4 linked regions of the Coturnix japonica genome follow. The main gene of each other region encodes a partner of the protein of the gene in region 4 in a complex. Links are inferred from orthologs where the notes say so. Each region holds a gene or a part of one and is shown on either strand. Other genes may lie near its edges.

Region 1 (5,339 bases), on a different chromosome or scaffold from region 4:
TTATTAAGTAATGTCTTGTTGCTGGTGCTGGTGTTTGTAAGCTGTTAGTGATCCTTGGTGATTATTGGATTCCTTTTAAAAGCCAAAATTACACTGTTGCCACATGCTGAGTAAGTACACTTTTGTTCTGGGGCAGACGTTCAAGAAGTAGAGAAAGGGAACGGAGTCGGGAGAGAAGAAGATCACGAAGCCGAGAGAGAAGGCGCTCCAGGAGCAGAAGCAGAGGCAGACGGTCTCGATCCCCCAGTCCAAGCAAGAACAGGAAGACAGAAAACAGGTATTTGTGTTCTGTAGTTACAGTCCGGATCATAGTTACTCATTACTGTAAACATACTGATATATTGGAAGGAATCATTGTGCAAAACCAACCAAAGATTTTGTGTATAGAGCAAGGAGAATTTTCCTAGCATACTGTAATTTCCCATCGCTTAATGTCCCTTGAAGGACTAAGTATTTTTATATTCCTTACTTGAGGGGCCGTAAATGCTATTCTGGGTATGCATAATTATTTCTAATGCTGTTTGTTGTGAGAATGTTTTTTGTAAGATGAGTAGTAGATCCACAAGTTCTAACAGCAGTCTGGATAGAGAACAAGCAGGTTGACAACAATCCAGAAATTATGAGCAGCTGGAATGAGTCTTTCAGGATAATCATATGGCTGGCATTAGAATTAATCTTTCAGTGGGCTGTGAAGTGATCTCAATGAGATTTAATTGGCTAAAGTGAATTTTACATTTATTGTTATGAGCTAGCAAACATTTGGTTCAGATACGTTTCTTTTTAATAGGAAACATGTTATGATAACAAAATCTGTGATAAGTGGGTTTTGTTTTAAATGGAAGTCTGCATGTTGCATACGACAAGTACTATATATATAAGTACATATAAGTACTGCTATAAGTAGCTTTTCCCAGATAGAGGTGTTTCAGTGTCCTTAAGGCAGTAGTGTGCAGAGGAACATTCAGACTTCCATAGCAGGAAGCAAGATCACTTTACCTTCTCCTAGAAATAGAAGAAACAGGACATTTTTAGTATCTCTTTTTCAAAGTGCTGCCTTCAAGGAGGTGTAGAATAAACAACAGAACCACAGTACTGAGTGTTCTGTACTGTAAATGCTGCTGCTTGGCCCTGTGAAGAAATGAGAATAGAACCAGAGCATGTGAATGAGTGAATTGCAATAGGCTGTGCATTTCTGGCAGGTGTAGGGCATGTTTCCATAAAGCAGAGAAAGATTCTCTAAAGAGATAATGTGCACTTCATAAGATGTTTGAAAACACAGCCCCATTCAGTGTGTTCGTGGTTTTGTTTCTATCCAACACGTTTATTCCCCCGTGAGAAAAAAATGTTTTAAGAAATCTTTGCTGTTACCTTTCAGATCAAGATCTAAAGAAAGGACAGAAGGTGTGGAAGTTTCCAAAGAAAAGAAAAAAGAGAAAGATGACAAGGAAGAAGAGAAGGATAAAGATGCTGGTGCATCTACTGTGGCCACTGAGGTAGGAGCTCTGAGGATAATCTTCTAACTTTTAAATGTATAAACAAGGAACTGAGGTAGCCATAGATTACTGTATTAACAAAAAAAAAAACTATTCTCAGGATTGGCCAAAATCCCTGCTGAGTTAATGAGTCCCACTCTCTTCTATAACTCCTGTCACAGGGTGTGCTTCCAATTCTTGCCATTAGTAACATTCTGTTTCTACTGTGCTGTCAGCAAGGGCTCCCCATGCATAGATGGGTCCCTTTTTTTGTTGTTCTTGAAGGATTATTACTTACAGAATTGTATACGTGCTACTGTTGTGAAAAATAAAACAGCTGAGTTTTGTATTTTAAAGCACTGTAGCTGCTTTTAGTGTTTTTTGTTTACTCCTGTTGTGATAGGTTTCTGTATGCCCATGGATCAACTTGGTGCTCAGTTACATTTGTTTGGAAAGGCTTTTTGACTGAAGAATAGACAAATGCCAGTGGCCATTAATTTTCACTGGTTGTTTCTTGCCATAGAATTTTGATCAGAACAAACTGGAAGAAGAAATGAGAAAACGAAAAGAAAGAGTGGAGAAGTGGAGGGAAGAGCAACGCAAGAAGGCAATGGAGAACATAGGAGAACTGAAAAAGGAAATTGAGGAGATGAAACAGGGGAAAAAATGGAGTTTGGAAGATGATGATGGTATTTTGATTTTAGATGTAACATTTAAAACACGTTTGTTCCTGATAATATTTTTATTATCTTTAAAGCATTTAAAGACTTTTCAAAAAGTGAACTATGAAATAGCAAAGCCTAAACCTTGTCACGGCTTCAAACATTTTAAGGTAGTGTTGAGATTAACAAATTTGAGAGATTTTTTAATGAAGAAAAATGATACAGTAATAAAAATGGACAGTAATTATTTGGGCAGGCTAACAATGTAACATAGAGTTATTTCCTCTCTGTTTTATTCCTGTTTTTCTTAATCATATTAGATGATGATGAGGAAACTGCAGAAGGAGAAAAGGAAGGCAATGAGGTTGAAGATGAAGAATTAGATCCTTTGGATGCTTATATGGAAGAAGTAAAAGAAGAAGTCAAGAAGTTCAATATGAGAAGTGTGAAGGGTGGAGGTGGGAGCGAAAAGGTAAAATTGAAAGTAGCTTTGTGTTTCAGTATGGAAATGGTTTTGGAAAAAAGAAGGGAAGAAATAGGTTAGATCCATTCAGTGATTGTTTGCCTTGAATTTTCTGATGTTATTAATAAGCTGATAGCAATATCCTCATAAAATTTCACTGCAAGAGATGTATGAAAAAACAGTGTAATATGTTCATAAGTAGAAATATTCTGTATATTTCATACAGCATGTCTTTTATGAGTGATGCAATGATTTCTATTAACTTTTTTTCTTTTTCTTTTCTTTTTTGCAGAAATCTGGACCAACTGTTACCAAAGTGGTAACCGTGGTGACAACCAAAAAGGCAGTTGTAGAGACAGAAAAGAAGAAAGGGGAACTCATGGAGAATGATCAAGATGCAATGGAGGTAATGGAAGTGTCTTGTGAGTATGTATGTGGCAGCTCAGCCTGCATGTTCTAATACATATCTAATATGAAATAAATGTTTTCTGAGGGTTTGCATTTCTGTTTCTTTTCTAGGTAAGTATAAATATGTTTAATTCCAAATGAACTGTAAGTTCCAGGTCTCAAAACTCTTCTTAAACGATAATTCTTTATTTATTTTGTGTCTGACAAATTAGTGGCATGTAGTGGCATAGTAGCTATTCTATACACTCAAATTATTATTTTTTAAATACTGTTCTCTTAATATTTGTACTGTATAGCTATGATTATTTCTGAATGACGGGACTGTTCTAGTTAGTATTTATAAAGTCATAGAAGTGATATGGAACAGTGAAAGTTAAGGTTTGGAAGAAATATGAAATAAATTGATGAGCAAATGATATGGGCTCCTCTCACAGTGAGAGCAGATTTTCAGTATCCAGTTTAATGGGCTAAGAAAAAGCTTTTGCTTCTGAGTCAAGTTTCTGTATAAACAAGTAACAGCATCTCAGAATGTCATTCACAGTAACTTAAACACTCTTAACAATCTATACAGTATTCTTCAGAAGAAGAGGAAGTTGATCTTCAGACTGCCCTGACTGGCTATCAGACCAAGCAGAGAAAGCTGCTAGAACCTGTGGATCATGGAAAAATAGAATATGAACCCTTCAGGAAAAACTTCTATGTTGAAGTACCTGAACTCGCTAAAATGACACAAGAGGGTAAGTACAAGTATGAGCAGAACACATTCTAGTGTGCAAGGAAGTAGCAAATTCTGATTCAGTGTGGAGTGCTCTTGAAGGAGCAAAGAAGTGCTGTACAGCTCAAGTCTTTGGAGTAATTTTGTTGAGAATTTGAATGGGAGAGGGGATTCTTTTTGAGCAACAGAATGAAAATGAGTCAGATCCCTATTACCGATAACCCCATGCTATCTCAAGGTAGCAGATGTCATGTTTGACTCTGTTCTAATGCAAACTCTGTTTCAGAGGTGAATGTGTACCGACTGGAGATGGAGGGAATAACAGTCAAGGGAAAAGGCTGCCCCAAACCAATAAAGACCTGGGTTCAGTGTGGTATTTCCATGAAGATTCTTACTGCTCTCAAAAAGTAAGCAAGCGATGTACAACCCAAGTCATGCTTGGTTTTGTCTACTCTGTTCTATCATACATATGTTAGTGAGAAAAACGTTCTTTGTTGCATAAAGCAACGTGTCCATGTCTGCTGGTGTTACATGTTTAGTCCTCAGTCATTTTGCAGTCAGTATTAAACGGTTGTTACAAACTGTTCTTTCAGCCATTTGTATCATGTGACTGCTCATTTTTAAGATGTTTTTAGAGTGACACCGATGCTTAGAAGTAAATAAGAACGTGCACATTTCTTCTAGCATGACTGTGATATATGTCCATCAAATCATATTTTGATCTTACAATCTCTTTTTTTGACGTTTCTCTCCCCTTCTTTAAGACACGGCTATGAGAAACCCACGCCCATTCAGAGCCAAGCTATCCCAGCAATTATGAATGGTCGCGACTTGATTGGCATTGCTAAAACAGGAAGTGGAAAAACTATCGCCTTTCTATTGCCCATGTTCAGGCATATTATGGATCAGAGAGCTTTAGAAGAAGGAGAAGGTCCCATAGGTACAAAGCTCTTGTTTTCAGAATTGCTATTTAAGTAAACAAAAGCTCGTTCTTATGCTTTGGAAGGTTCTTCAGTTTTTCTCTTGTTTGTGGGAGTGAATGCTTGCTGTTGCTATAATCCATTAATGAGCACCATGCTGTTTGTTGTTGCTTGTGGTCACTCTGCTATTTAATGCTGTATTAAGAGCACTTGCATATCTGTATCTCTGCAAGGGAGGCCTAGATTGATTTTGAAACTTCAGCACATTTTCTCATGCTGTCATAGCTCTCTTTCTTGAAATTGTATCTTTAAAATAATAGATATTAATACGCTTGGGAGCGAGCTGCATATATTTCACACAAATGCTTTGAACTTCATTACAAAAGCTTATTTTTTATTGCTTAAATAACAGCATTCCTTATATTGCAGCATATGATGGATATGCTTTGCATTTCAGCTGTCATTATGACACCTACTCGTGAGTTGGCCTTGCAGATTACCAAGGAGTGCAAGAAGTTCTCAAAGACCCTTGGACTTCGAGTTGTCTGTGTTTATGGAGGAACAGGAATAAGTGAACAGGTATGTGTTAGACATACGTTACTTGTCAAACAGCTGTTGGACTTCTTGTTAATCAATGCTACTTTTGAAGTGGATATAGTTAGTTCTCCTTCCCATAAATTCCATTATGTTTGCAACATT
Region 2 (4,349 bases), on a different chromosome or scaffold from region 4:
AAGTTACCTGGAATTCATATGTTAAATTGTTTTCAAGTTTTAATTACCTGTGGGATCAGAGTAATAACGGGAAGGCTACTACTGTCTCCTGGAGTTGGTTTACAAACTAACTACAGGCTGAACAAAAGCTAAGTTTAGAGAGAGAGTTGGTGTGTTTTGGTTTCTTAATAAAAAATAGGTGATTTAAAAAGAAATGTCTTGAGCTTGCTTTTCTCTGTTGCTATATTATGGTTTATGGTGTTCCTCAGGGACTTCCTGAAGGGCTAAGCCGCATTCTTGCGCTGTTTTCTGTTTCAGTGTCAACTAATTTACCTGCATTCTCATCAAATATATTGACGTATGTGTACGTATTTTCTCTTCCAGACCTCACGATGTCTTGGCTACACTGCTGAATAACTTGAAAGTACAGGAAAGGCAGAACAGAGTATGTACTACTGTAGCCATTGCTATTGTAGCTGAAACATGCTCACCTTTCACAGTGCTGCCTGCACTCATGAATGAATACAGAGTTCCAGAACTGAATGTCCAGAATGGCGTGTTGAAATCTCTTTCTTTCCTGTTTGAGTATATTGGAGAGATGGGAAAAGATTATATTTATGCCGTTACGCCATTGCTTGAAGATGCTTTAATGGACAGGTGAGTGCAATTCTTTCTGCGTATGGTCCAGTTAGGCACAGTCACATTAAATATGTAACTGGGTCTTAACAGCAAATAATCTCTTTGTCCTTGTTGGCTAAAAATTGCTCAGTAACAAACATTGTTATTACAAATAATTCAGGTTATATACTCCTATTTTGCTAACTCTTTTGAAGATGAAAACGGTAAAGCCATTTTAGTTGATATTTGCTGTGTTAAAACCACTTTTAATCATTTCTGTTAGTCCCCTTGCTACAGAGTTTATAGCGCAGTAATGGCCAGAAAACTGTCCTTTGAATTAATCTGTGTTTGGTTACTTTGCCTCTTAGTGTCAGTAGATGTGTGTTAAAAGCATATATCGATGCTTTGAAAATAATGTAATTGAAAATAATCATGATGCTTGGCCAGGTCTGTTGCTTCTAAGTTTGATTTACTAACACACCGTTGTTTTCTTTTCAGAGATCTTGTACACAGACAAACAGCCAGTGCTGTGGTGCAGCACATGTCTCTTGGTGTTTATGGGTTTGGCTGCGAAGATTCTCTTAATCATTTGTTAAATTACGTATGGCCTAATGTGTTTGAAACCTCTCCGCACGTCATTCAGGCTGTCATGGGGGCTCTGGAGGGCCTCAGAGTTGCTATTGGCCCTTGCCGAATGTTGCAGTATTGTCTGCAGGTATGTGCTTGGGCAGCAGTTACCAAACAGGCTTCTGTCACCTGTTGGGAGCATATGGGATGGGAGGGAGCTTAGAGCAACCTGCTCTAGAGGGAGGCCTATAGCAGAGGGGAGGAATTAGATAATCTTAAAGGTCCCTTCCAACCCAAACATTCTATGATTCTCTTTAGGAGATGAGAAGTCAGCTGAAGGAGATTTCCAGTAAAGGAAAACAGTCTGGCTTTTCATCTCTTAACATGCTGTTCTGTGCTGAGGATTTTGATAATGGAAACATGCAATGAGAACTGCTTTCTTTTCTTTTAGTGAGATAACAGATTGTCCTGGGAAACTTGCATAGAAATAGCAGCATAGAAGTAGCAAATGAGTTAGAATATAAAGGGACTAAAAATTGGCTCTGACTTGTGAAATAGAAGCATGCAAATTTGAGGACAGCTAATAATGATTGGGGGAATAAATTATTAGTGCAGAAGGTGTGATGAGAACAAATAACGAGCAGCATTATTAAAGAGAGGATAGGATTGATATTTGATCCATGTTATGTTTTTCTAGCCAAAGAAAACAGTAAGATGTTTAAATCTGTTTAAGGGCAAAGTGTTAGAAAATGGTGCCTGGATCACAATTTATACCACTGCATCCATGCTCGTCTCTCCAGCTTCTGTGAATGCATTCATGGAGGTAGAATGTGCAGGCTCCTTTTCTGTGTATTTGAGTGTAACAGTTAGAAATAGATCCAGTGCAATTTCTCCCTACAAAAACCAAAGAAAGGAATGTCTCCGAAATAATGTTTCCTTAATACTTGCTAGTTTATGTGCTCACAAAACTGATAGTTACATGTTTATTGTGGTTTGTTCCTAATAATTGATGGTTAAGTATTATCACAGTGCTTTTCAAATGGTTCTTGTTTAAAACGTGGTTAAAAGCACTAACAGGCTTTTAGAATGGAGGCTTTGATTAAGTGTTTTTTTGTTTTCTAGGGTTTGTTTCACCCTGCCCGGAAAGTCAGAGACGTTTATTGGAAGATTTATAATTCCATCTACATTGGCTCACAGGATGCTCTGATAGCACATTATCCAAGGATCTATAACGATGAAAAGAACACCTATATTCGTTATGAACTTGACTACATCTTATAATCTTCTTGTTCTGTTGTTTGTGTTTAATGCACAGCTGTTCTTCACATAAATGCTTCAGATTTGATGATGTAAAGTTTTAAAGTATTGGAGCTGAGTATAGAACTGGTCAGAGACAGAGGTAGGAATCCAGTAGCATGATTTTTTAAATATGTCCTTGTTTTTTGATGTTAAACAGTTAAAGCCAGTAGTGACCAAGAAAACAGTGATTACAGTATACAGGAGGGATTTCATTTTTCGTTCATCTTTATGAAGATTTAGGTTTCATTCCTTGTGTTTAAAGGGGTTGTTTATTTGGGAAATAAACATTTGTGTATAAAATCTAATTTGTGTGTGGTTTTTGGACTGAGAGGCTTGTCAAACGAGTCTCTGATGGATTTCAGTATTTGTTCATGTAATAAGCAGGTGGCGTCGAGCATTTTAGCCCTTTTGTCATCCCCTAACTTTTGAATAAATAAGAAAAATATCCAAACTGTAGTTAACGTGTGTATCTTTGTCGTGCCATAATTGAGCTGTACTCGGGCTGGCAGTTGTAGTGGTGGCAGTTTGTTTTCTTGGAAAAAATAGTAGTGAATTGCTTGTTGGTTCTGCTGCTTCTGCATTACAGAATCACAGAATGACCTGGGTTGGAAGGGACCTCAATTACCCTGGATGTAGGGTTCATTTGTAGTAGTAGTAGTGTGTGAAATCACTTGTATGACTTCAGCAATCACAATAAGTTCTTGTAGCTACAGATAGGCTGCATAAAATGCCAAGTGATGCTTATAGGCTGTGCTGTGATTCCTTTGAAGAGTGAAGAAAGTTACTGGGCACCTGAGGTGAGACAAATTCAGAGCGTGCGTATGTGACATGGAGAACGTGAATCTCATCGGCTTGAGATAAAAAAAGTTTCATGTCCTTCTTTGTTCTTTTCCTTCTTTCCTGTGCATGTACTCAAGAGAAAGAAAAAGGACATGGTGCTACTTGACGGTATGCCACATAAAACACAAGGCTCCATCATTCTGGTGGTGTTGGATAGTATCTCATGTCCATAAGAGAACACAACGAATACTAGTGATTGGATACCAGGTGTATTCTTCTTGTCTGTTTTTAAGTTGGGCAATTAATTTCCATCTCACCAGTGTTGCCAGCTGACCTCTCTTACACGAATGTGAGATTGTTGAGCATATAAGGGAATTCCACCTTACCTCTCGAGACCTACGTTTCTGTTTGGAGATGGGGGTGCAGAGTGGTGGCAGCTTGGTTGTTTATGAAGGTACTGATTTGTTAGGAACTGATTTTTTTCTGTAGTAGTGGTATACATCCTACATAAAGATTGAATTAATTGTTCTCTGAATTGTTTGCTCCAGTTTTAGTAGTGTTTTCTCACTAAATAATTCCATTTATTTTATAGATGTCCCACCACCTTTGCTTCTTCAGTAGTTCTGCAGTATAGGACAGGGTAAGTGCCAATGGAGAGGGCGAAGGGTGGAAATAAAGCACCTTTTTTGACAAGATAAGCCGAAATAGAGCACAATAAATACTGTACATTCTCAGCTACAAACAGCTGTTATTGAACAGAGTCACTGCCGCTAGCTCTGCTTTATCACCAGCAATGAACAAGAGCCTTGGACGTTCTGGAAGAAGCAAGTCAGTTGAGATAAGCGCAGTTAAACCAGGAGCATCCTTGTGAGGTTCTGTTAGCATTCCTTTTTTGAAGCTGCCTTTTCAGGTGCTGAGAAAACTGTTAGCTTTCTTCAGTGGGTTTCTTACATCGCTTAATTATCTGAATTATCTTGAGATAATTAATTATCTTGAGAGGCCAAGAGGATTTAGTGAAGTGAGGAGTTTTTACCACAATGCTGTCATGGGGATATTGACCTGTTGGTCTTTTTGTATAGCAGTGAGTTGAAGGTACTGAGACTGGG
Region 3 (5,988 bases), on a different chromosome or scaffold from region 4:
CAAAGAATTGAGTTACTTCCCTATCGGTCAAGGACAAGAATGCTGGCAGAAAAAACCCCTCTAAACATCTGCACAAAGGCTGAGAGCAGAGACCAGGAGGATCCTTTTTGCTCCAGACACTAAGAATTCAATGGCTCCCCAGAGCTCAACGCAGAGCCCGGTTTTCATGCCAGAGTCCTCCAGTAATTCTCAAGCAGAGTTTAACAACTTCCAGTCGTGTCTTCTTCACCTTCCTTTCCAGGCCATTAACCTCCCCAAAGGCTAAAACAGAACAAGTCTATGACGGCCATCACTGGGAACTAATGTCCTGGAAAATATGGGAACTCTCCCTGCCATCAGTCAGTCCCAAACATTACCTTGAAGGCGATGGTTTCGTAGGGCTCTGCTGCCATCAGGAGGTATTGCCAGCGCCGATCAGGGGGCTCAATCCTTTGCTCATACGCTGACATGAAGCGATGGCGAGGCATGATGCTTTCTGCGATCTCCGGGTAATCGATCTGTTGGGGTATTATGGCAGGTTTACAACACTCCTCCATACAGAACAAACTCTTCAGCTATGCAAGAATTCAAGGGAAGCTTCTGACTGCTCATTTAGCCACGTTTTTACTTGGATAACCCAGAAACCAAGAATCTGATCTTACCTGGAAGAGAAGGCTCTGCTGGCCTGTCTCTGGATCTCTCTGTTTGGTCACTATAGAGAAAATAAGAAAGCTCAGTACACTACATAAAGGTCAGTACAGTATTACTTCAGCCCTAGGAAGATCCAAACAGCAAAACATGACAGGATTTTGTTTCCTATTTATTAAATAAAATGCCACAATGCCTTCAGCCAAAGTTCCTGAGGGTATCTACTGAAATGCAGCTGCTGTGGGGCACAGACACTGACACAATATGCATGGAGATAAAGAAGCCATGTCTTGTACTGAAGGCCAAAATGAAACAGAGGGGAAAAAAACTGAGTTATACATCCAGTGGGTGACTTGTGAGCAATAGTATATTGCTCTGCCATAATAGAGATGGCAGAGCACAATAAAAGGGAAAGAGAGACTGAAGCAATGCCACCATCTCCCATATGACTACAGTAAGAACTGACAGAGACTGAGACGTACTGATCTATTATTAAAATGGCTCTCACTCGACTGTCAGCAATAAAGAGACAACCCATGGGTAATTTAAACAATAAAGGACATCAGGAGATAAGCCCATATCTTATTTATGGATAGCTCTGCTAAAAAGGCTGATGAACAATTCATGCCCACAGCACTGCACTTCAAGCAAGCTCCAGCAGCCACGGGGTATCTGCTATGACAGGCACTGCTGACAAACCTTTGTAACCTGGTCGTCCAATTTTCACAAACTTCTTCACTTCCACTTTGACTTTTTCTGGTGCAGGTTGGGCAGGAGCTTCCTTTGCTTCCTTGGCAGCTCGACGAGCCCTGGGTTCATTGGAAACGCGCAGTGTTAAATGGTTATCAGCACTTGGTTCTGAAGGATACTCTAAAAGGCAGAGTGAGTTCTGTATGACGGAGCATTCAGCACTTCACAGAAAGCATAATGGGAAACTGCTGCTCCTCCTCCACAAGCACCATGGGAGGCCAGTTCCACTCCTTGCCTTGACTACAATCTGTCACCTCCATCACCTCACCCACTCCTAAGAGGACTTTGATGTCCAGCTCCACAGATGGAGCTGAGATGACTTCTTAAAAGTCAAAAAGGAAATGAATTACACAAGCCAGGTATCTAAAGCAGAGCAAACCTGAATTCTTAGATTAAAGCTTACAAACTTTTCTCAAGCTGTATTCATAAAACAGCTTCCCTTACAGTTATACTTAATCTAAATGCCATAGCTGGCTTTGAAGTGGAGCTTGTCAGCACCACTGTTCAGAGCAGAGCTGGTGAATGCCTAGGAAACAAACAGAGACAAAGAGCATTCAAGCCCAGAGTGCTACTACATGATGGAGGCCAAGATTTATAGGTGCTCATTATCTAATTTTAATGTGCCCAAGTAATGGAGAATAACACGGTGGAGAATGACTTACAGATTGGTCTGATGCTTCTTCCCCTGCGTATGTGCCAGGTAACTTCCCTGGGGGGAAAAGAAAGTTATGAAGACTGAACTGTTCCTGAACAGAAAGATATTTGTCACAGATGAGAGGTGACATTTCACACTGACAAAGATATTTTAATCCTCAGAGCACAGCAGAATCAAACTCACAAATTTCAGATTGCTCACAACTGCTGAACTGTCAGAAACTTGTCATGCTTAACACACACAGCCTCTGCTCCCCCCATTGGCCCTCCAGCAATCAGCCAACGGGAACAGCTTCGGTTCCAGCACTTGGAGCTAGAATTAGTCTAAAATATCTGCTGCCATGGAGATCAAGACAGACAGCTGCTCAACTCACCTCATTGTTATGGAGCGTCAGGCAAAGCTTGCATTCATAAGAACCCAAGTGATTTTTCATAAAATAGGGGTCCTAGGAAGAGAAGGATTGAAAAGTTACATGTAAAATCTGCATTGGAACAACTGAACAACCGAGATTCTAAAGCAGAGCTGCACTGTAAGAACTCTATGAGCTCATGGAGTGAAGGGATCAGCACAACACTGCTTTAGGAATATAGAGAAAAAGGAACAAGAGCAGTTGTGTTCACTGGTAACAGCACACCCAACTGCAGCATAATAAGAACCAGTGCCAAGACTGAACATAACAGAAGCCCAGTGCTGGTATCCCTCTGCTTGGCCCTTCCACATGTTGCTCGAGTCCCTCATCAGTGGGAACAGAAGTATTTATTCCACTCCACAGATCCCCACTAAACCTCTCACTCTCTGCTGAGATGAAGCCCTGACCTCACCCCATGTAGCCTGCAGGACTGGGGCTCACCTTGTTGATGTCAATGGTCTCCAAAGCCAGTTGCCGAAGCCTCTCCCTGCGGTCTCGGTTGCTTTCTGAGGCTGAAGCTACGCCTCCACTCCCCGTTTTACCTCCAGGACGGTGCTGAAAATCCATGGTGGGGATTTCTGGGCTTTGGAGACTTCAGGAGAAAAATAAAATAAAAGTCTGGAAAAATGAAGAAAAGACACATAAGTGACAACACAGCCCTAAGCTGGGCCTCGCATTGAGCCCTGCCACGAGGACACGGCCCAGGCACTGCCATTACCTCAGCAAGAGACAAAACCACCCCCAGCCCACCTCTACCCTCTCACACAGGGTCACACACCCCCCAGCCACTAACATGGGGGTCACAACCCCCCAGACACCCCCTCACCCCCCTCTAAACACCCCCATTCCCTCAGCGAGCACCAAAGCTCACCTCAAAGCCCCCTACAAACACCCCCCGAACTCTCCATGCCACTTATAGCCCCCCAGTTTCCTTTTGGAGGGTCCTGTCCCTCCACTAAGAACCCCTCTAAGCCCCCTCACCCCCCTCATTCTCCAGTGCAGGTCACAGGCTCCATAGGTTCCATAGGCCCCACAGGCTCCATAGGTTCCATAGGCCCCACAGGCTCCATAGGTTCCATAGGCCCCACAGGCTCCATAGGCCCCACAGGCTCCATAGGCCCCACAGGCTCCAAATAGGCCCATATGCCACAGCCTCTATAGGCCCCATAGGCTGCACATGCCCCATAGGCCCCACAGCCTCCACAGCCCCCACAGGTTCCATAGGCCTCACAGGCCCCACAGGTTCCATAAGCTCCATAGGCCCCACAGGCTCTATAGGCCCCACAGGCCCTTATTCCCTTAGCGACGGTCACTGCCCCGAAACAATCCCCCACAGGGCCCAAGACCCCCCTCCAGACCACCCCATCCCCTCAATGAGGGTCTCACTCCCCCATATCCCCCCTTTAAGCCCCACATCCCCTCCCCCTAAATCCCCCATACCGCCGTGCTCAGCCCCGCTCCCGGCGCATGCGCTCTGCCCTCCCCCTTCCATCCCCTCTAGTTCCGGATAGAGCACTACCGGGTCGGGTATGGGTGGTTGTAGGGTTGGGGTGGTTGTAGGGTTAGGGGTGGTTTGTAGGGTTGGGGTGGTCGTTTGGGGTCCGACATGAGGTACAACGAACGGGAGCTTGCTGTCCTGTCCAGGCAACCGGCAGAGAAAGCGGCAGAGATCCATGATGAGGGTCCCCAAGAAGGGGCAGCGGTAGAGGGGGGGGTGGGAAGGGGGTGAGGGTGGAAGATGGGGGGGTTAATTGGGGGTGGGAATGGGGAGTGATGGATTGAGGTGTGGGATGGGGGTAATGGGGTGGGGGTGGGATGGGGTGGGGTAATGGGATGGAAACTGGGGGTATTGGGATGGGGCTGTTGGAATTGGGGGTGCTGGGGCAAGAGCTGGGGTGTTGGGATGGGGGTTGTTGGATAGAGCTGGAGGTGTTGGGATGGTGGTAAGGGATGGAATTGGGGTAATTGGGATGGGGGTATTGGGAATGGAACTGGGGTATTGGATGGGGTATTGGCATAGAGCCTGGGGGTGTTGGGATGGGGGTATTGGGATGGAACTGGGGGTATTAGGATGGGGCTGTTGGAATGGGGGTGCTGGGGCAGAGCTGGGGTTTTGTTTGGGATGGGGTATTGGGATGGGGGTATTGGATATGAGCTGGGGGTGGGATGGGGATGGGGGTGTTGGGGTGATAGGATGATGGGATGGGGGTAATGGGATGGAACTGGGGTTATTGGGATGGGGGTAATGGGATGGGGGTATTGGGATAATGCTGGGGGTGTTGGGGTGGGGACAGGAGTATTGGGATGGGGGTAATGGGATGGAACTGGGGGTATTGGGATGGGGGTGTTGGGATAGAGCTGGGGGTGTTGGGATGGTGGTAATGGGATGGAATTGGGGGTATTGGGATGGGAGTACTGGGTCAGAGCTGGGGGTGCTGGGATTGGGGTATTAGGATGGAGCTGGAGGTGCTGGGATGGGAGTATTGGGATGGAAGCACAGGGATCAGAACGGTGTACTGGGATAGGAGCGCTGGGATGACAATGGAAGTCCTGGGGTGGAAGCACTGGGATGGAAATGGAGATGCTGGGAGTGCTGGGATGGTTTGGGGGCCCCACACACGCTGGGCTCGCTGTCACATCACTCCTTTCCTTCTTCAGTGTTAAAGAAGCGCCTCGTGAAGCTCGTGGTGAACTTTCTCTTCTACTTCAGGACGGATGAAGCTGAGGTTCGGATCCTGCTGCTCCTCACACACACACAGATACACACACGCACCTTTTTGCTTCACGTTTATCACGTGTGCTCTGTGGATCAGTGCAACACGGCGTCCTCCCTTCCCCCTGCACAGTTCAGGCTCCTCGGTGGGGGTGAGGAGAAGCAGTGCCAGCAAACCACACCCTGCTGCTTTCTACAAACACAACCATCGCCCTACAGCAGCAAAAGCTGGACTCTGTCTCGTGTAGTTACAGACCTCACATAAAACCGAGGCTGCTAAAGATCCTCCTGTTCTAAAGATCCTGAATCAGCACAGAATAACCTTTATAATGAATATTTAACCCCGATCACGGCTCAGCTCTGTGCTGAGAAATGCTCTTTTCTTGTTTCTGTGGGTAACTGCCAACGTAGAACTGATGCACTGGAAACTGGCCCTCAAACAGGTGCTTCAGCACCAACGGCTGCTGCCTGATTCACAGTCAACCCCCCATTGAAATCCTATGTCCAAACTAAACAAAAAGCGAGAGGTTTTCATTTGTGGCTCATTCCACCCTGTGGTTCTCATGTCCTTGCTCAGTATGTGCTGGCTGGCAGCCTGTCCCTACAACTGCTTCCTTGTCCTGAGCTGTTCTTCATCCACACACACTGTTCTTTAACCTCCTGCAAAGCTCGAAGGCCGCCCTTAGGAAGTCAAATGTTAAACAGTTTATCTTTGTTCGATTTACTCTGCAAGGAAGTAAACTTTATCGCTGCCTTTGCGGGACAGAAAGGAATACTCAAACCCACATTGATTGTGAGCACACAGAGACTCTTTAGAGGACACTCTGTAAGCTC
Region 4 (5,339 bases):
ATCCCTGTGGCCTCGTGGATCTTAACCTTTATAACGGACACCTAGGAAGAAACAAAAGCCTTGTTCAGACTTTTTCCCCCTATACAGGTGGCCAACATGAAGACCTCCACCACACAACCCTGCCTGGCAAGAAGCCACGGCGTGGCAAAAATGCAGAATTTTACAGCTCCTGTAATGCAGGTCAACCCCTGTTCTCAATGTGGAAACACTCCGTAAGAACACAGCAAGGGGTAAAGACCGGGTTAATAAGCTACATACCTGGTCTGACAGCGGTAGGGTGAACACCAGCACTTGGCCATTCAGCTTCCATTCGGTCTTGTCCTGCATGTTGGGGACCTGGACTTTGACTGTGACTGGGCCCTACGGGAAACAAAGATAAGGTCTTTCACAGGCAAGGAGTCTCAGGACTGCGATAAGAGCAGCAGACAAAGTATTTACAGACCTTCCCAATATTAATCACATATCTTGAAAGTCAGAGTATTTTGCAGTGAACACGGTGGTACTAAAGAGATGGCTTCATAATGCAAACAAATGCACAGGAGAACAGTGCTCCCTTCTTAAAGGGCTTAAGACCCAACCCAACATGATGCTGTTACTCAGAAAGGAATTCAGTCTAACATTTCATTCATGTTACGGAAGATATTACATTGCCATACTACCATGTTGACATTGATATATTAAATCTCCTTGCACCTCCAGCTTAACAGTCTTCTACTTAAAAGCTTATCAGCATTATCTCTTCTTTACATTACTATAACCCTACTTCTCACTGCTGTTAATTACAGAACAGCACCATCTGTGTGCAGCACTACATCGCTCCTTGTAGTAAAATATAGGGCAGTTCAGGTATGACAGTAGGAAGGAGCCATCTCAGCAAGTCACTTTCTTTTGAAATACATCAGCTCCCCTCTGTGTTCTCAATGGACTTTACAACCCCTCTGAGCACAGGAGGCTGAACAGCTCAGCAGGGCCAGGACTCCACTTCTCAACAAGCAGAGAGTTCACTCGCACACATACCTTGTTCCTGCGCAGAAACTCCTCCTCTGGAATCAAGCTGTCCTCGCTCTTCAGTTTCTTTGAAACTGGCTCATCCTCCATAGGTGGTGGTGGGTGAACAGGAGGCATTGGCGCTGGGGAAGGAACTGGAGCCACGGGAGGTGCTGGAACAAATGCTGGAATGGGATGAGGGAAAGCACAACACACAGTCATCCACTGAGCATACAGCAGATACTCCCTTACACGAACTCTTTTAGCAGACTAACAAAGACTGAAAATAAATGTTGCCATTCATGCAAGAAGTTAATATAGCCTGCAGTACCATGCGAACTTCAAACATAAGATCTTCCACAAGGGGAGAGAGTCCAGGAAAAAAAACAACAAGCAGAATGGGAGCTTCCTGCAGATCTTGCAGAAAAGAAAACGCTCTGAATTTAGCAGCCAGCACCTCAATTTAAATAAAAAGGAAAAGGGAAAAAAAAAACCAAGACAGAAGTGTTTTTATGTTGTGCTTAACTTAAAACCACCACAATGCTATGCAGCCACTACAAAGAACAGAGCCAGAGCCAGATAACAGCTTTTCCTCTGGCAGCAGTAACTTCCCTAACAAACTGTAACACTCAGTGAGGTGTTGGCAGATCCACTTTACTCTGGTTCCTCTTGGAAAGCTGCAGGGATTTGTAGTGTTCACCCAATCAGACTCCCAGGGACACCAAGATAAAGCATCCCACCAACAAGACTGAACTCCCACACTCGAGCAGATGACAATCCCAGAAGTCATGCTATAAGGTAAGTCACACTAAACATTAAAAAAAAACCTTAAAAGATTATATTTATGGTTTGCAGTGCCAATTATACACCACTATTACAGACACAAAGGGAAAAAGGAATCAAGCCTCAAGCCCACGCCAGACAGGAATCAACTGACAATTAACTGGAAAGAGCTGAAGTCACTGACCCGTTGGTACTATCATGGGAGGTGGGCGAGGGCTCATGATGGGAGGAGCAGACGGCGGCATGGGGACAACATTGATCCGTGGGGTGTGGATTATTGGTGGCATGGGGGTGGCTATGACAGACCCTGGAGGCAAACGGACCACGGAGGTCATCGGGGGACGAGGCATGACAGGAACAGCAGAAACAACAGCAGCACGAACAGGAGGAGGCATCTGCAGAGAGAAGGTCATTTTATCTTAGCAATTGCACGCAGGAATGAGCATCCCAGTGCTGCCCACAGTTCTGATTAAATTAAAATCACCAGGGCAACACAGTGAGGATTTCTACCAGGCAAAGGCCTGCTGGGAGCCTTAACAAGCCCACCGTATGGCCAGCCTGAGCCTCCTGCAAACAGGCACAGAACCTCATTAACACATCAAGCAATTCTTCCTCCTCTCAGCTGCAGGGACTGTGAGACATGCAGCGATCTTAGAGAAAGAGTTGCAGCAAAGCCCTTACTCCAGGAGAACACGGGCAGTGAGTCATCAGTGAACATTTCTTATCTGCCACTTCTTAGTTTTTCTGCCTCATCTCTTTATTTTTTTTAAATGTTTTAAAAAAGAAAAGGTCCCAATCCATTCATTTGTTAGCCATACTTCCCTCTCCCAAGGCATCACCACCCAGGCTCTTCCCCTGTGCAACCCATTGAGTCTTCTTGATACAGCTAAGGATTAATAACTCCACCTAGACCTTATTTTCAGTTTTTAACTGCAAGTTTAATAAGGATCCTACGAAGGCTTAAGAGCAGTTTGGAATACTAACTTCTCCCAACATCTGTTTCTAGCCAGTACACTGCTGTAACTGTGGAGCTTTGTCAGGACTTCCTTCCAATTATCCATGCCCACAGCTGCTTTACTTATGGAAGCCCCAGCACTTACTGTGGGTGGACGAGGCACAGAAGTGATAGGCTGAGCACTCGGAGGAGGATTCGATGCCGATGAAGGAGGGGGTGGCTGGGGCATTTCATTGGGTTTGCTGGGACCAATCTTCTCCTTGCTGTCATCTTCTGGCACCAGTCCCTTGGCCTTATGGATAGCTTCAATTTGCTCTTGAAGAGTAATATTGGCTTGAGCAGCCTGTTGTGTGCGGGCCATGCTGCCTGAGTGGCCATCCCAGGTCACCTGTCAGGATAAAAAAAACATCAGAGCAATCCCAGCCTGGGCAGACTATAATGAGAACTACAGAGAGATCAGCACAACAGTTTTACAACAGTAGTAAGGTCTAAAAGAATCCTGAGCATTCGTAATACTACAAGAACCTATTAAAGCAGTTTCCACTCTACCTTTTCCTCTGGTTTCTGAATTTCCTCTTCACCAATCTTCTTACCAATGGCAGTTTCTTCCACACCAAAGATATCGGTACGGCGCTCTGCCAGCTGCTTCAAGCTGCTTTCAATATCCAAACCTGCAAGCAAGAAGAAATTCTTCCTCTAAGTGATAAAAAGAGACTTGATCCTTGACTATATGATCTTTAAAACTATTTGCTACCTAATGGCCTAGAGCTCCTCTTTTCAGAAAGGGACTGCAACTGACGACTGGCCAGCAGCAGCTAATGCTCTGCTCTTATCTTTGCAGAAAGGCTTTGATGTACTAGCAACAAAAGTATCAGGATAATCAGAACACTAAGGACATAAGACAGAAAGCTACATTTAAAACAGTCCCTATCAGCAGGAACTCGGGGGAGAGGAGACACACTAAAATGTTCACAGAAGGAATTTAGGATGGGGAACTCGCAAGCCTTGTCAATGATGCACAAGCTGACCTGGGGCATAGACCTCGTCGTCACTCTGTTTTTCACGGATAGACCGATCGCGCTGCTCCAGCCACCGAGGATCCAGCAGACCAATTCGCATGTGCTCTTGCATTTTACTGGCAGGGATTTTCTCCCCAGTGATGGGGGAAACAAGATACTCATCTGGAGCTGGGGCAGGCGGTAACGGTTTTGAAGCTGGAAAAACAAAACCACACTGTTAAAAGCACACCACCAGAAAATGCAGCCTAGAAACAAACGCCTTTGTGATCATTCGTTAAGAAATACAGCTGATCTTTGCCAGCTTGATTTACCTTTGGGATCGTAATCTTTCCGCACAATGACCTGATCTGGTGTGGGAGGAAGAGGTGGTGGCATTGGAGTTTCTGGAGGAGGAGGAACTTTCTGACTTTCATCTTCATCATCTGAACCCTGATTTAAAGAAAGAAAATCATAACCATGCTCCAGTAGTCAAAAAGCCCCATAAAAGACTTGAGAGCACCATAAAAAATCCTATGCAAAACCACAAGGACTGATTATGCAGCTTCAGAGTAACTGAGCTATTTCGCCTCTTGACACCTCTACTACAGTGGTTCCTTTGGTAATCACAAACTCAAAAATTAAGCAGACCCAAAAAAGGAAGTAAGTAAGCCTCAGCTTCCACATTACCACAGCATGGCAAGCCAGGGCTTACAGTTAGTCTCAATGATCTTGTTTCTTGCTAACAGAAAAACTGATTATATGCAGTGGTTAAAAGGAAGAGTCTGAAATGAGACATCTTTTCAACATTCCAGACCCTAGTGTGTAAGAAAATTTAGAAGACTGGATGACAGAAATAACCTCACATCAATTCACCGGGTGACTGAATTCCCAGATTTCTCTTGTAAATTGTATTGCCACAGAGAATATTAAATACACCATATTCCAGTATTTCAGCAGAAACAGGTCATTTTTAAACTCAATCGGAAGGAAATCTCAATTCCCTCAATATACTGAGCAACGTATTATAATGAAGACGTAATAAACCCCACACAAATCTCACAGGGCAAGAATAATGCCAATTCTGTTGGCTACCTACCTCATCCATATCCTGCACTTGCGTGTCTTGATCCAGCTGGGTTGGAGGCTCATCTGTTTTCTCTTGTTTTTCATCTTCTTCATCTGACTCCACCTCCATCTCTACCTCTTCACTTTCCCCAAACTTCTCATAGCGCTCCTGGATGAGGATTCGAGCTCCCAGCTCTTCTGGAGTGGTGGGAGGTGGGAAATTCCCTACAGTGCAAAAAACACAGCTTTTGTTTCTTGGTCCCATTTGATTGCATAATGGGAAGACAGAAGCACCAATTTCTTGAGAAACAGTTTTTGGTTTCGTTTTGTTGTTGGTTTTTTTTTTTTTTAGCCATTTTAGAGGCATATAGTCACTCTGTTTTAAACTCTGTCCAGACTAACACTATAACAACAGCTGGAGATGAAGACATTTATAGGTGAAAGCACCACCAGAATATGGGACAAGTTTTGCTGTCCCGCTTCAAGATGGAAAAGCAGACACTGCCACAGAATACTACTTGATTCCAGAAGAAACTCAGCCCTATCCCATC

The links.
Region 1: SF3A1 (region 4) and DDX46 share a complex: the UniProt entries of both Homo sapiens proteins name them as parts of the 17S U2 SnRNP complex. The link is inferred for Coturnix japonica from reciprocal best matches to the Homo sapiens genes SF3A1 and DDX46.
Region 2: SF3A1 (region 4) and SF3B1 share a complex: the UniProt entries of both Homo sapiens proteins name them as parts of the 17S U2 SnRNP complex. The link is inferred for Coturnix japonica from reciprocal best matches to the Homo sapiens genes SF3A1 and SF3B1.
Region 3: SF3A1 (region 4) and SF3A2 share a complex: the UniProt entries of both Homo sapiens proteins name them as parts of the SF3A subcomplex of the 17S U2 SnRNP complex. The link is inferred for Coturnix japonica from reciprocal best matches to the Homo sapiens genes SF3A1 and SF3A2.

Annotation. Positions count from the first base shown.
Region 1 is NC_029528.1:2,452,373-2,457,711, forward strand, and holds part of DDX46 (probable ATP-dependent RNA helicase DDX46), read left to right. Parts: intron 1-136; coding exon 137-277; intron 278-1,375; coding exon 1,376-1,493; intron 1,494-1,995; coding exon 1,996-2,161; intron 2,162-2,454; coding exon 2,455-2,606; intron 2,607-2,889; coding exon 2,890-3,003; intron 3,004-3,576; coding exon 3,577-3,742; intron 3,743-4,006; coding exon 4,007-4,127; intron 4,128-4,484; coding exon 4,485-4,660; intron 4,661-5,097; coding exon 5,098-5,219; intron 5,220-5,339. UniProt on the Homo sapiens protein: Component of the 17S U2 SnRNP complex of the spliceosome, a large ribonucleoprotein complex that removes introns from transcribed pre-mRNAs.
Region 2 is NC_029522.1:44,634-48,982, forward strand, and holds the end of SF3B1 (splicing factor 3B subunit 1), read left to right. Parts: intron 1-363; coding exon 364-636; intron 637-1,095; coding exon 1,096-1,312; intron 1,313-2,286; coding exon 2,287-2,445; 3' UTR 2,446-2,768; downstream 2,769-4,349. UniProt on the Homo sapiens protein: Component of the 17S U2 SnRNP complex of the spliceosome, a large ribonucleoprotein complex that removes introns from transcribed pre-mRNAs.
Region 3 is NC_029543.1:1,223,477-1,229,464, forward strand, and holds the start of SF3A2 (splicing factor 3A subunit 2), read right to left. Parts: upstream 3,939-5,988; 5' UTR 3,882-3,938; intron 3,060-3,881; 5' UTR 3,009-3,059; coding exon 2,883-3,008; intron 2,478-2,882; coding exon 2,406-2,477; intron 2,087-2,405; coding exon 2,040-2,086; intron 1,437-2,039; coding exon 1,327-1,436; intron 692-1,326; coding exon 642-691; intron 498-641; coding exon 357-497; intron 1-356. UniProt on the Homo sapiens protein: Component of the 17S U2 SnRNP complex of the spliceosome, a large ribonucleoprotein complex that removes introns from transcribed pre-mRNAs.
Region 4 is NC_029530.1:9,663,308-9,668,646, reverse strand, and holds part of SF3A1 (splicing factor 3A subunit 1), read right to left. Parts: intron 5,014-5,339; coding exon 4,820-5,013; intron 4,174-4,819; coding exon 4,056-4,173; intron 3,940-4,055; coding exon 3,754-3,939; intron 3,397-3,753; coding exon 3,275-3,396; intron 3,114-3,274; coding exon 2,871-3,113; intron 2,166-2,870; coding exon 1,955-2,165; intron 1,173-1,954; coding exon 1,018-1,172; intron 361-1,017; coding exon 259-360; intron 42-258; coding exon 1-41. UniProt on the Homo sapiens protein: Component of the 17S U2 SnRNP complex of the spliceosome, a large ribonucleoprotein complex that removes introns from transcribed pre-mRNAs.